Linked DNA regions of Arabidopsis thaliana. The protein of the gene in region 1 interacts with the protein of each later gene in a biochemical or structural test. Each region holds a gene or a part of one and is shown on either strand. Other genes may lie near its edges.

Region 1 (4,652 bases):
AAAACATGAGAAATTCGTTGACCAAGCCAAAATAAACATGTTGTCATCATTCATTAAAAGAACTTATAACATTCATTATCACTTGTTAACGACTCTATTAGTATCCCTAAAACGACTTTGTTTTGAGAGTAATCAAAAGAAAATCAGGATTGTTTTCTAAATGAAACCCTACTTCCCCAAATCTATTTTTACAACCGCTCAAACAAGACGAACAATCTTATAATGAGTCTTCAATTTGCTTCCATGATTCCTTTTAAAATTTAAAACAAATATATAAACGAAAACACCTTTATTTGCTTCCAATTACTGGCACTGCGATTATCTCTTTATCAAACTATGTTCTTGGGTTCTGCTTAAAACTTTTTGATATGGAGATTTCATATGGAAAAAATCTTTATGTTCTTTCGATTATTCTTGAACGACGTTATTTTGGACAGATTAACAGTCATTAACGGGTTTCTAGGTTCTACTGATAAAGACATGTCTATTTTGGCCTGGTCAACGAATTTTTCATGTTTTAAATGGTATTCAACGTTTAATTCATGTTTTAAATAGCCACATAAGAAGTTGATGTTTAAAATGGCCACAATTTGAAACTTGACTAATAAAGTTAACGAATGATAACGGACGTTAGAAGTTCCGTTAATGACTGATAACGGCATGTCTATTTTGGCCTGGTCAACGAAAGATCATGTTTTAAAAATTAGTCAACGTTTAGTTCATGTTTTAAACGGCCACATATGAAATTGATGTATAAAATGGCCATTTTTTGAAAGTTGGGGGATTAAATGACATTTTTCCCCTAAATCAACCATCACAAATCATAACTAGATCAAACAGAGTAATGGTAACTTTACGAACCATATCATTAAATACATATGCCTACACATTTATATACCAATTACTTTGCTAAACATCATTTTCTTACATGACACCACTAAATATATCAAACAAGAAATTATGAAAATGTAGTAAGAATTTTTTCTTTCTCGGTAGTAAGATTAAAATCCATTCAAAAGACTACTAAAAAAAAATCTAAAACTAATTTTGTTATAGAAAAAAAATTACAAAACCAACCCCTCTATTTCTCAAAATATTACAAAACTACCAAACTAATTAATTCTTCAAGCCGAACCAAACACCAAACCACTCACGCTAGGAGTTACATGCTCCTGCATCGTGGACTGGTGATGACGGTGCTCTCCTTCGTACGTCACAATCAACATCGTTGAATCATCCAAAGCTCTTTCCACGTGTTTCCTCGCTGGACATCCTCTAAATGTACTACACTTGTAATAACCCCTGAAATCAACAAAAACAAATCACAACCGTTAGATCTCCAATGTTTCACAAATAAATCAACGGTGGATAGCGATGGTGTACGATAGTTACCGTGGATGTGGTGAGCCTTTGATCGGTTTTTGTCCATACTTTCTCCATGAATATTCGTCTGGTGGTATATCGGCGATCTTTGCACTTACCGCCGGTACTCTCACGGTTCTCTTCATCCGATTTTTTCGGCTGTTAATTAAATAATAAAACATTGTAATTAGTGAAATGATTTAACGTGCGCTGACACGACTAACGTGAACATGCATCAGGTTAGCAAAAGTCAACGGGCAGACAAAGACTTTTAAAACGTAAAAACTTTCCCTATACAAAACGACAGCACCCACTAACTTGTCCTTGTCAGGCGTGCACTTTGGTTTAAGTTACTGTCGTTGACTTTCACTAAATACATTGACCGATTGGTTTAGATAGTACCAAACCGGTCTACAAAGTATTAAACCCGGATTTTTATTCTTTATTTTTTACTGAGACTAGTTAATTTAACTAGTAGACTTGTTCATGATTGACAAATTCGAGGCAAAAAAAGAATTTTGAAATCTGAATTCGTGATATATTTTCACTGAGTCCGTGAGCGATTGGTTTAGACCGTATCGAACCAAACAATTAACTACTACTAGGCTAGTCAAACAAATGATTAATTTATTGTGGAGTAATAACAATACCTTTTCTTGCAATGGCACTTGCCGTTGCCGGAGCCAGAGATCTTGCCGGAAAAGCCTTCAGAGTGGTCATGTTCAAAGCATCTCTTCCTGTAAGGAAGACCAGAAAGCGGCGGTTTCCCGGAGGAAGTCACTGGCACCGCTGGAGCCGGAGCAAGAAAGATCGAAGAGCCTTTAGAGACACTTCCATCACCGGTGATCGCAGAAGACATGAAAGAAGAGTTAGAAGATACGCTAAAGCTCTCTTTAGCAAACTCAACAACCTCCGAGCTCTTGGTTTTAGCGCCAAAAACGCTCGGTCTAGTGAAATCTAACGTCACGCTTTGTTGATTTGCCTGAACGAAGCTAACCGGTGCTGGAGCAGAGATCTGAGTGGGAGCCGGAGTTGTCACTTTCACCGGTGGAGGAACGGAGGAGGAAGGAGGGGAATGAACCGGACCACGTCTAAACCGGGCGTGACCGGAACGGTTAAGAAGAGAGATAACTTTCTTGAACTTAGAAACTGTGAAATCAGTGATCTCAGAGCAATCAACGTTACGTTCTTCGGGACGGTTAGAGAGGACACGAATCAAGTGTTCCATGCTTTTTAAGCCTTGTGATGCAGCTTCTTGTATAGCCGTTTGATCTTCCATCTTAGGTAAACGCATAATATCAACGGTCATGATGAGAAACCAGAGGAGAAACTTGAAGATCTGAGAAGATGTGCAAGTTTTTTTTGATGAATGAGAGAGCGAAACTGGAAGAAAAAAGAATGGCGTTGGCGTGATATATGGGGTTATGGGTGTGACCGAGTGACCGGTTGAGTAGGTTTAAGATGGAGTTTAGTCAAATCGGTGCTTTAGATCTAACGGCTGAGATTGAGTTGAAGATTTCTATGGAATAAAGTAATCAAAGTTTGGTCTCCTTGAGTTGTGAGATATGTAGGGTCTTCTTTTGTGCAAAGCAAGAATTTATAATCGTGTCTTTAAAATAAAGGAATCATTGTGCGTAAACTTGAATTTGGGGAAAATGGTGGTAAAGGAATTTCAAAGAAACAAAAAGTCAAATAAAAAACATTAAAGGATGGTGTCTAAAGAAAATCATAAAGCTTTTTTAAAGTCTCATATCTATTTTTTCTTTTATTAGGTATCTTATGTCTTCAAGTTCAAGTCAATAAATTTAAAATTAAAGGTAATGAATTGTTTTTATTTGTATGAACAATTGGGCTGATTTTTTTTTGTTTCTTTGGAATATTAGAAGGTCTTTAACCAAAATCCATAATTTATTCTTGAACCAAATCAAAATATGTAATATTAATTTCATCTCAAATCACATATTTTTCTTTAATAGGACTGGATTTTGATAGAATAAATTTTCAGCTAATTGTAAAATGGTATTAATTTCTTTTGTGATTTTGACTTTTGATAATATATTTTATGTTTTTTTATTTTATTCGTGTTAAGTTTTAGGCGTTATTCATGTTCTTTTTATGTTTTTGTGTTATTTTTAGCTTCAACCAACACTACAACTTGTCAATATTATATGGTGCACACATACCAAACTCGTGTTTGCAGCATATTTTTATTATTTCAATTTCTTTCTAGAATTATTACTAATTTTGCAGTGCATTGACAATAATAATTATTTGAAAATAATATTTGACTCCCATATTAACTTTGCACCTAATATATATTTTTTTTTTCTTACCTCATAGCCTTCTAGAAAACGTCTTGACTGGAAAACTAGTAAATTGAAAACAATCTTTTCTTGACTTTTAATTTTACCTAATTAATCTACACAGATTGTGGAACAATTAACAATCATTAATAGAGATTAAAGGCTATAATAACAGCGACAATCGTTGACTATATCTTATTAGTATAGTCTACAAGTCTTTAGTTGAGAACAGCGATAAAGAAAAACGACAAAGTAGGAAAACAAAAGCTGACTACAAATAAAATAAAAGTGATCACATGGACGCATTTCTTTTTAAAACACAGAACTATTGACTACCTCGGTAACCGAGTGATTCCGGTTAACTATTATCTGGGCCGTTGATAATCCAAAAGTTAGATCCAACGGTGGATCTGTGAACTGTGGAGTTGACTCTTTGATATTATTCTCTTTAACTACTTTTTTTTTGAGAATCTAAAAAACACCTTTTACCACGGCAACTGATCTTCCGACACGTGGCAATTCTGGCTGACTCATAAATTGTCACCTGTCCACAAGATTCTTTTTTTTTTGTTGCTTATAGAAATAAAGTAAACAATACCAATACAGTTAGGAATGGAGGAAATTAAATGAATAAAAAGAGCCAATTTGCAGCTCGATCTAATCCTACTTGAGGAGATAATTTGAAGTTTTCTCTACATTTTTCTAAATAAGGTTTAATTGGTAAATTTTTAATCGCATTTATAAAATGGCATATAGATTTTAGAAGATTTATTACTAATCACCAAAGCAGAAACATGAGTAAATATTAACATTACTATAAATTACTTTTTAATCTTTTGTTTACTTTCAAACTTCAGTTAAAACAACTCTTTGTTTCAATACACCACCGTTTTCCGGTGATTTCAGTTTGTCGGAATATACATGTTTCGATAATTTTGGTATATGCAGTGTTTTCTTGTAGTTGTTATATGCAGTGTTTTCTTGTAA
Region 2 (5,120 bases), 1.1 Mb from region 1:
TTGACATCTTATACCCATATATTTAGATTTTTAATCTAACAAAATGCAGATAAAAAATATTTTGAACGTTTAACTAAGAGAAACATCCCCTTGAGAAAAGCTTTAGGAGTTGAACAGTTCTTTCATAATAATAAATCTTAGATATAAGCTACTGATGTTTTCATTGATACCTCTCATAGCTTCGTGCTTCAGACTTAGCACGCGCAACAATTTGCCTCCCATCAGCTGCAAGCCCAGCAACAGCCTGACATGACAGAAGTAGAAATACCCATAATCATGAAACAAAACAATATACTACGAGACTAGACACAATAGTAGTTACAAAAAACTTGAAAGATACATATCCTCAGCAGAAACTAATTTCCTATAGTTTAGGAGAAAAAAACATACCATGCCAGCATGACGATGAACAGAATGGATTCTCCTGTTGGAACCTGGTAGCATCATCTTTGATGCAATAAGTTTCTCAACTCCCTAAAAACCACCAAATGATAAACACTTAGCAAGACCATTCCTTTATCAAAAATCTGCGTAAAATCTTACAAAACCCAAAACTAACAACAGATTCACAACATATCGAACAGGAAATGAAACTAAGGGACTGTAAAATGTGTCATCTTGGGTCAAAATTTACACGGTATATATTACATCAAATCTACAATTCTGATAACAAAAATGTGAATACTTCATTCCAAGGTTAAATCACAGCACGAGAGACTAAACCCACTGAAGAAAGTGACAAAGTAGTATAAAAATCAATAGAGGAAGGAGGAAGAATCAAACCATAACAATCCCATCTTTGCACTTGATTCCAACAACAGTCCTGCGAAGAAAAAAAAAGGGAAAGACTTTTAACAAACCCTAATTCGTGTCGATAACCAAAATCTCAAAGTTTTCAGAAGCTAAATCCGATCTACTAAAGGGCGAAGATCGAAGAAGATAAAGCCAACTAACCCACTGTTGTCGACAGCTTTAGCGGCGTACTCGATCTGGAAAACACGGCCATCGGGAGAGAAAGTGGTGACGGAGAGATCGTACCCAGTTCCAATGCTACTCATCTTCCTTGATTTTTTTTTTCTCTGACTCTTTTCTGATTTCTTCTTCGTCGAGTGATTTAAGCTGAGATCGAAGAAAGGGGTTTTCTTTGTTCTCAAGCCAGAGACAAGCCAAATCTTTGGAGCTCCGTCTGACTCCGGGTTGGATATTAAAACGATTCGGGTTGTTTTGTCGGGTGGGTCGATTCGGTTATTAACGGGCTTTATTAATATTATGATTTGGCCCATTCTTTGGTAATCTTTTAACGGTATCGTGAATATTTTTAAGTGATTTTCCTCTTTTGTATAATTTTGAATAATCAACCACATGAGGAAGAAAGAAATATTTCTCTTACTCAACAAAATATATGATCATACAACACTTCTTTATGAACTCACTAGAGGTAAGACTATAATATGCTCTAGCATTGGGACACACAAACTTTGGGATGCTCAACATTACATGTTTTTAAAACCAAGACAGTAAATTACCTATAATTGTGATGGATACAATAAGTTTGTTTTTTACTACATCTCTAGCCAAACTGAGAGACATAGTTGTGGCGATCAAAAAAGTATGACAGTTTTGCGAAAACTGGATCTTGTTTAATATCAAATCTTTAAGTGAAGGTCATGATGCTTAACTACCCATTAGGTGACCCTTCCAACAACAAAGTAGTGATTTTTGTCCTAACTCCTAGATGATTATTAATTACAAAAACAGTAAATAAAAAGTACTACTATTTCTAAATTTTCTTATAATGCTAAAACTTTTTCTTTGGTTAACTTAATTAAAAAGTAGTTTAAAATCCATGGTAAACACAAAGCTAAACCTTTTTTACCGTTTTATATCACTAGTAATCCCATTCTACCAACTCGTTGAATACTTAGTATTGGTACGCATGGTAAGATCAGTAACTTATATGAACTAAACCATTCAAAGCATGTAAATGGTTGTCGGCAAAACAACAATACTATTTCTTTTCACAAGGGAATATATACATCACCTCCCTCTTAAGTAAAGCTAGTCGAATTGAAAACACAATAAGGCCCAGTGGAGAACAAAACAAAAGAAGAATAAAAAAGAGAATCAGATTCGAAATTATTGTTATTGGGCCTAATGGGCCTTTTCTTTTTCCTTCTTTATAATTCCACACAACAATCCTCTCATTACACACACCAACGTTGATTCTTCTTCTTCTTCTTCTTCTCTCTTTCTCATCTAAACCAAAAAATGGCAGATCAGCTCACCGATGATCAGATCTCTGAGTTCAAGGAAGCTTTTAGCCTTTTCGACAAAGACGGAGATGGTTCTTCTCTCTCAGATCTTTCCTCTTTTGTATAATTTTCATTCATAATAGACTCACTTGCGTTTTTTTTGGTGTTTTGAGTATCACTTAGTCTTGGCTTTAGGAATTTGATGCTCTTCGTTGTCCATAAAATCTCTGGATATTCACATTAACATTAAACGCGAGATTTGATGATATCTTTATCGTTCGTTGATTATAAATTATAATCGCAATCGGATCTATCTCGATAATAATCTCTAACTTAATCGTGTTTTAGTCTTCCAGATTTTACTAATTGTGATTAGAATTGACACAAATCTTAGAATTCAATAATCGAAGTAGATTACATTGACATTTGTAGATTTTTTGTTTAATTGATTCAGTTATTTGAGTAGGTTACAATGAAATTTGAAGATTTTGTGTTCATTTGATACAGTTGTTAGAGTAACTAAAATGAAATTTGAAGATTTTGTGTGTTATTAGAGTAAATTACAATGAAAATTTGAAGATTTGGTGTTAAAATCTGTTACTGATTTGAGAGAAATGTGTGGTTTTGTGTTTAGGTTGCATCACAACGAAAGAGCTAGGAACAGTGATGAGATCATTAGGTCAAAATCCAACAGAAGCAGAGTTACAAGATATGATAAACGAAGTAGATGCTGATGGTAACGGAACCATAGACTTCCCTGAGTTTCTGAACCTAATGGCTAGGAAGATGAAGGACACTGACTCTGAAGAAGAGCTCAAAGAAGCTTTCAGGGTTTTCGATAAGGACCAGAACGGTTTCATCTCGGCAGCTGAGTTAAGACATGTAATGACAAATCTTGGTGAGAAGTTAACTGATGAAGAAGTTGATGAGATGATCAAAGAAGCTGATGTTGATGGAGATGGTCAGATCAATTATGAAGAGTTTGTCAAAGTTATGATGGCAAAGTGAGGAAACTATTCTCATATCTTTTCTCTCTTTTTCTTTCTTTCTTTTTTTGAATTGAACAACTCTGATTATTGCTTTATTCTATGTTTGACTGTTCATTATTATGCATTCGTCCCAAATTTCATGTTATGAACTATTTTGTGACTTTGGGTTAAATTATTTGTTTGGAAGTTTTTAGTTTATTTTATATTATGTGAAGTACCATTGTAATGGTCGTTGAAAAAGCTATCTCTTGGTATTAGTACTTTTTTATTTTATTGTATTTTATAGTTTGCAATGTTTGTTAAAAAAAAAAAGGGTTATTTGTGTGATTAAAATTTGTAGGAAAAATGTCTGAAAACATTATATCGGTAGTTTTAAAAGCTTAGAATTTTTTATTTATTTTTAAATTGTTGGTCAATTTGGAAATTCCCCTATTTTTTAGAGGAATGTTGGCAATAATCCATATAATTTGAGTCAAATTAAAATATGTTTTTCTTATTTTACGGTTCATATAAGAAAATAAGTAAACTGTTAGAAAAAAGTATTATCATTTGTAACGATTAAAACAAGAGATAAAATTTAGGAAATACGAAAAAGGGTTAAAGAAAAACATAACTTCCATTTCATTTTTTCTTTCAAAAGTTTTCAAGCTTCAGTTCTCTTTTTCCCCACTTCAACTTTCAGCTTTGTAAATAACATTCGTGTTTTTCTTGATTCAATATATTCTACATTTTAACAAAAACATATAAAAAGTGGTGTATGCATACAGTAGTTATTCGTGAGGTAGAACGTAATTGTTTAAATTAAAAGGCAGATATGTTTTGGGGAATAAAATCAAAAATGGATGGTAAGTAGCAAAAGCTAGATAGATGAAATGAGAATCTCCAAACCTTTAATTATGACTGAACTTTTTTGTTGGTAACCAGTATTTTTTATTTTTACTTTTTTTTGTTACAAGGCTTAGTTTCTTCTTTTTCTTTTAAATATTATCGAAAATCTTGATACCTAATTATTTTAAAATGTGTGTAATTTATTAGGAGAAGAGGGAAGAGAGTTATGGCAGCAAAGCGTAGTAGCAATTCTGCTGAATACAAAGAAAAGAATGGTCGCCGGAAAAGTCACTGCCGTATTCTCTGAGCTCCGACCATTTGCTTCTTAATTCCTTTTCTTTATATGTTTGTGTGCAATAAGAGATTTGTACCTCTCACACCCATTAAACGGATTTTAAATGTCATATCTTGTTTGAATATGTTAAATATTTACTATACTGTTATATAAAAAGTTTTAAAGTACTATCAATATAGTAAGTTCATTTAGGCATTTCCTATCTACCACAATGTTTAATTTTCGTCTACAACATACGCACACTTATCAAACTTGAATCCAAGTATATAGCGACAACACTAAATCCGAGTTATGATACGACGGTGGCACTAGTACAGAAACACTATCACAATGTTTTTAAGATATTAGCAAGAGAAAACTCAGAAAAGATACACGACCAATATTAGGAGACTTTAACTAATACTCTGGCGATCTAACTGTTATAATTTATCAGTTGATTTAGGCGTTAGGCATTTGCTATCTATCAACAATGTGGGCGGGCATATGGTCTAATTCTTGTGAGATGATAATACAATTAAAACAAAGAAAATACTTTTTTAGGAACTAAACCTAAACTTAAAAGTCTTTCTAATCAGTTGCTATTTAAGTATTTTCATAATAAATCAAGAAATGCAAATTGTACATGAATTCGAAAAGCCTCTCGTTAAGAAAACTTATGATTAAGAATATAATATCCAAATACTAGTTTATAACACCAAATGCATTGAAACACTTTGTGTCACTTAGCATCAAACATTAAACACTTATACCAATTTG

What was found.
Region 2: the proteins of WRKY17 (region 1) and CAM5 form a complex in vitro, tested with the Arabidopsis thaliana proteins (one study listed by BioGRID).

The regions. Positions count from the first base shown.
Region 1 is NC_003071.7:10,436,552-10,441,203, forward strand, and holds WRKY17 (WRKY DNA-binding protein 17), read right to left. Parts: upstream 2,919-4,652; 5' UTR 2,672-2,918; coding exon 2,013-2,671; intron 1,522-2,012; coding exon 1,393-1,521; intron 1,303-1,392; coding exon 1,125-1,302; 3' UTR 802-1,124; downstream 1-801.
Region 2 is NC_003071.7:11,529,801-11,534,920, forward strand, and holds CAM5 (calmodulin 5), read left to right. Parts: upstream 1-2,166; 5' UTR 2,167-2,268; coding exon 2,269-2,344; intron 2,345-2,886; coding exon 2,887-3,256; coding exon of another isoform or gene 3,257-3,260; exon of another isoform or gene 3,261-3,484; intron 3,485-4,276; coding exon 4,277-4,376; 3' UTR 4,377-4,558; downstream 4,559-5,120. Other genes in the region: PAG1 (20S proteasome alpha subunit G1), read right to left, coding at 171-244, 391-474, 784-823, 955-1,364. UniProt on the Arabidopsis thaliana protein: Calmodulin mediates the control of a large number of enzymes, ion channels and other proteins by Ca(2+). Among the enzymes to be stimulated by the calmodulin-Ca(2+) complex are a number of protein kinases and phosphatases.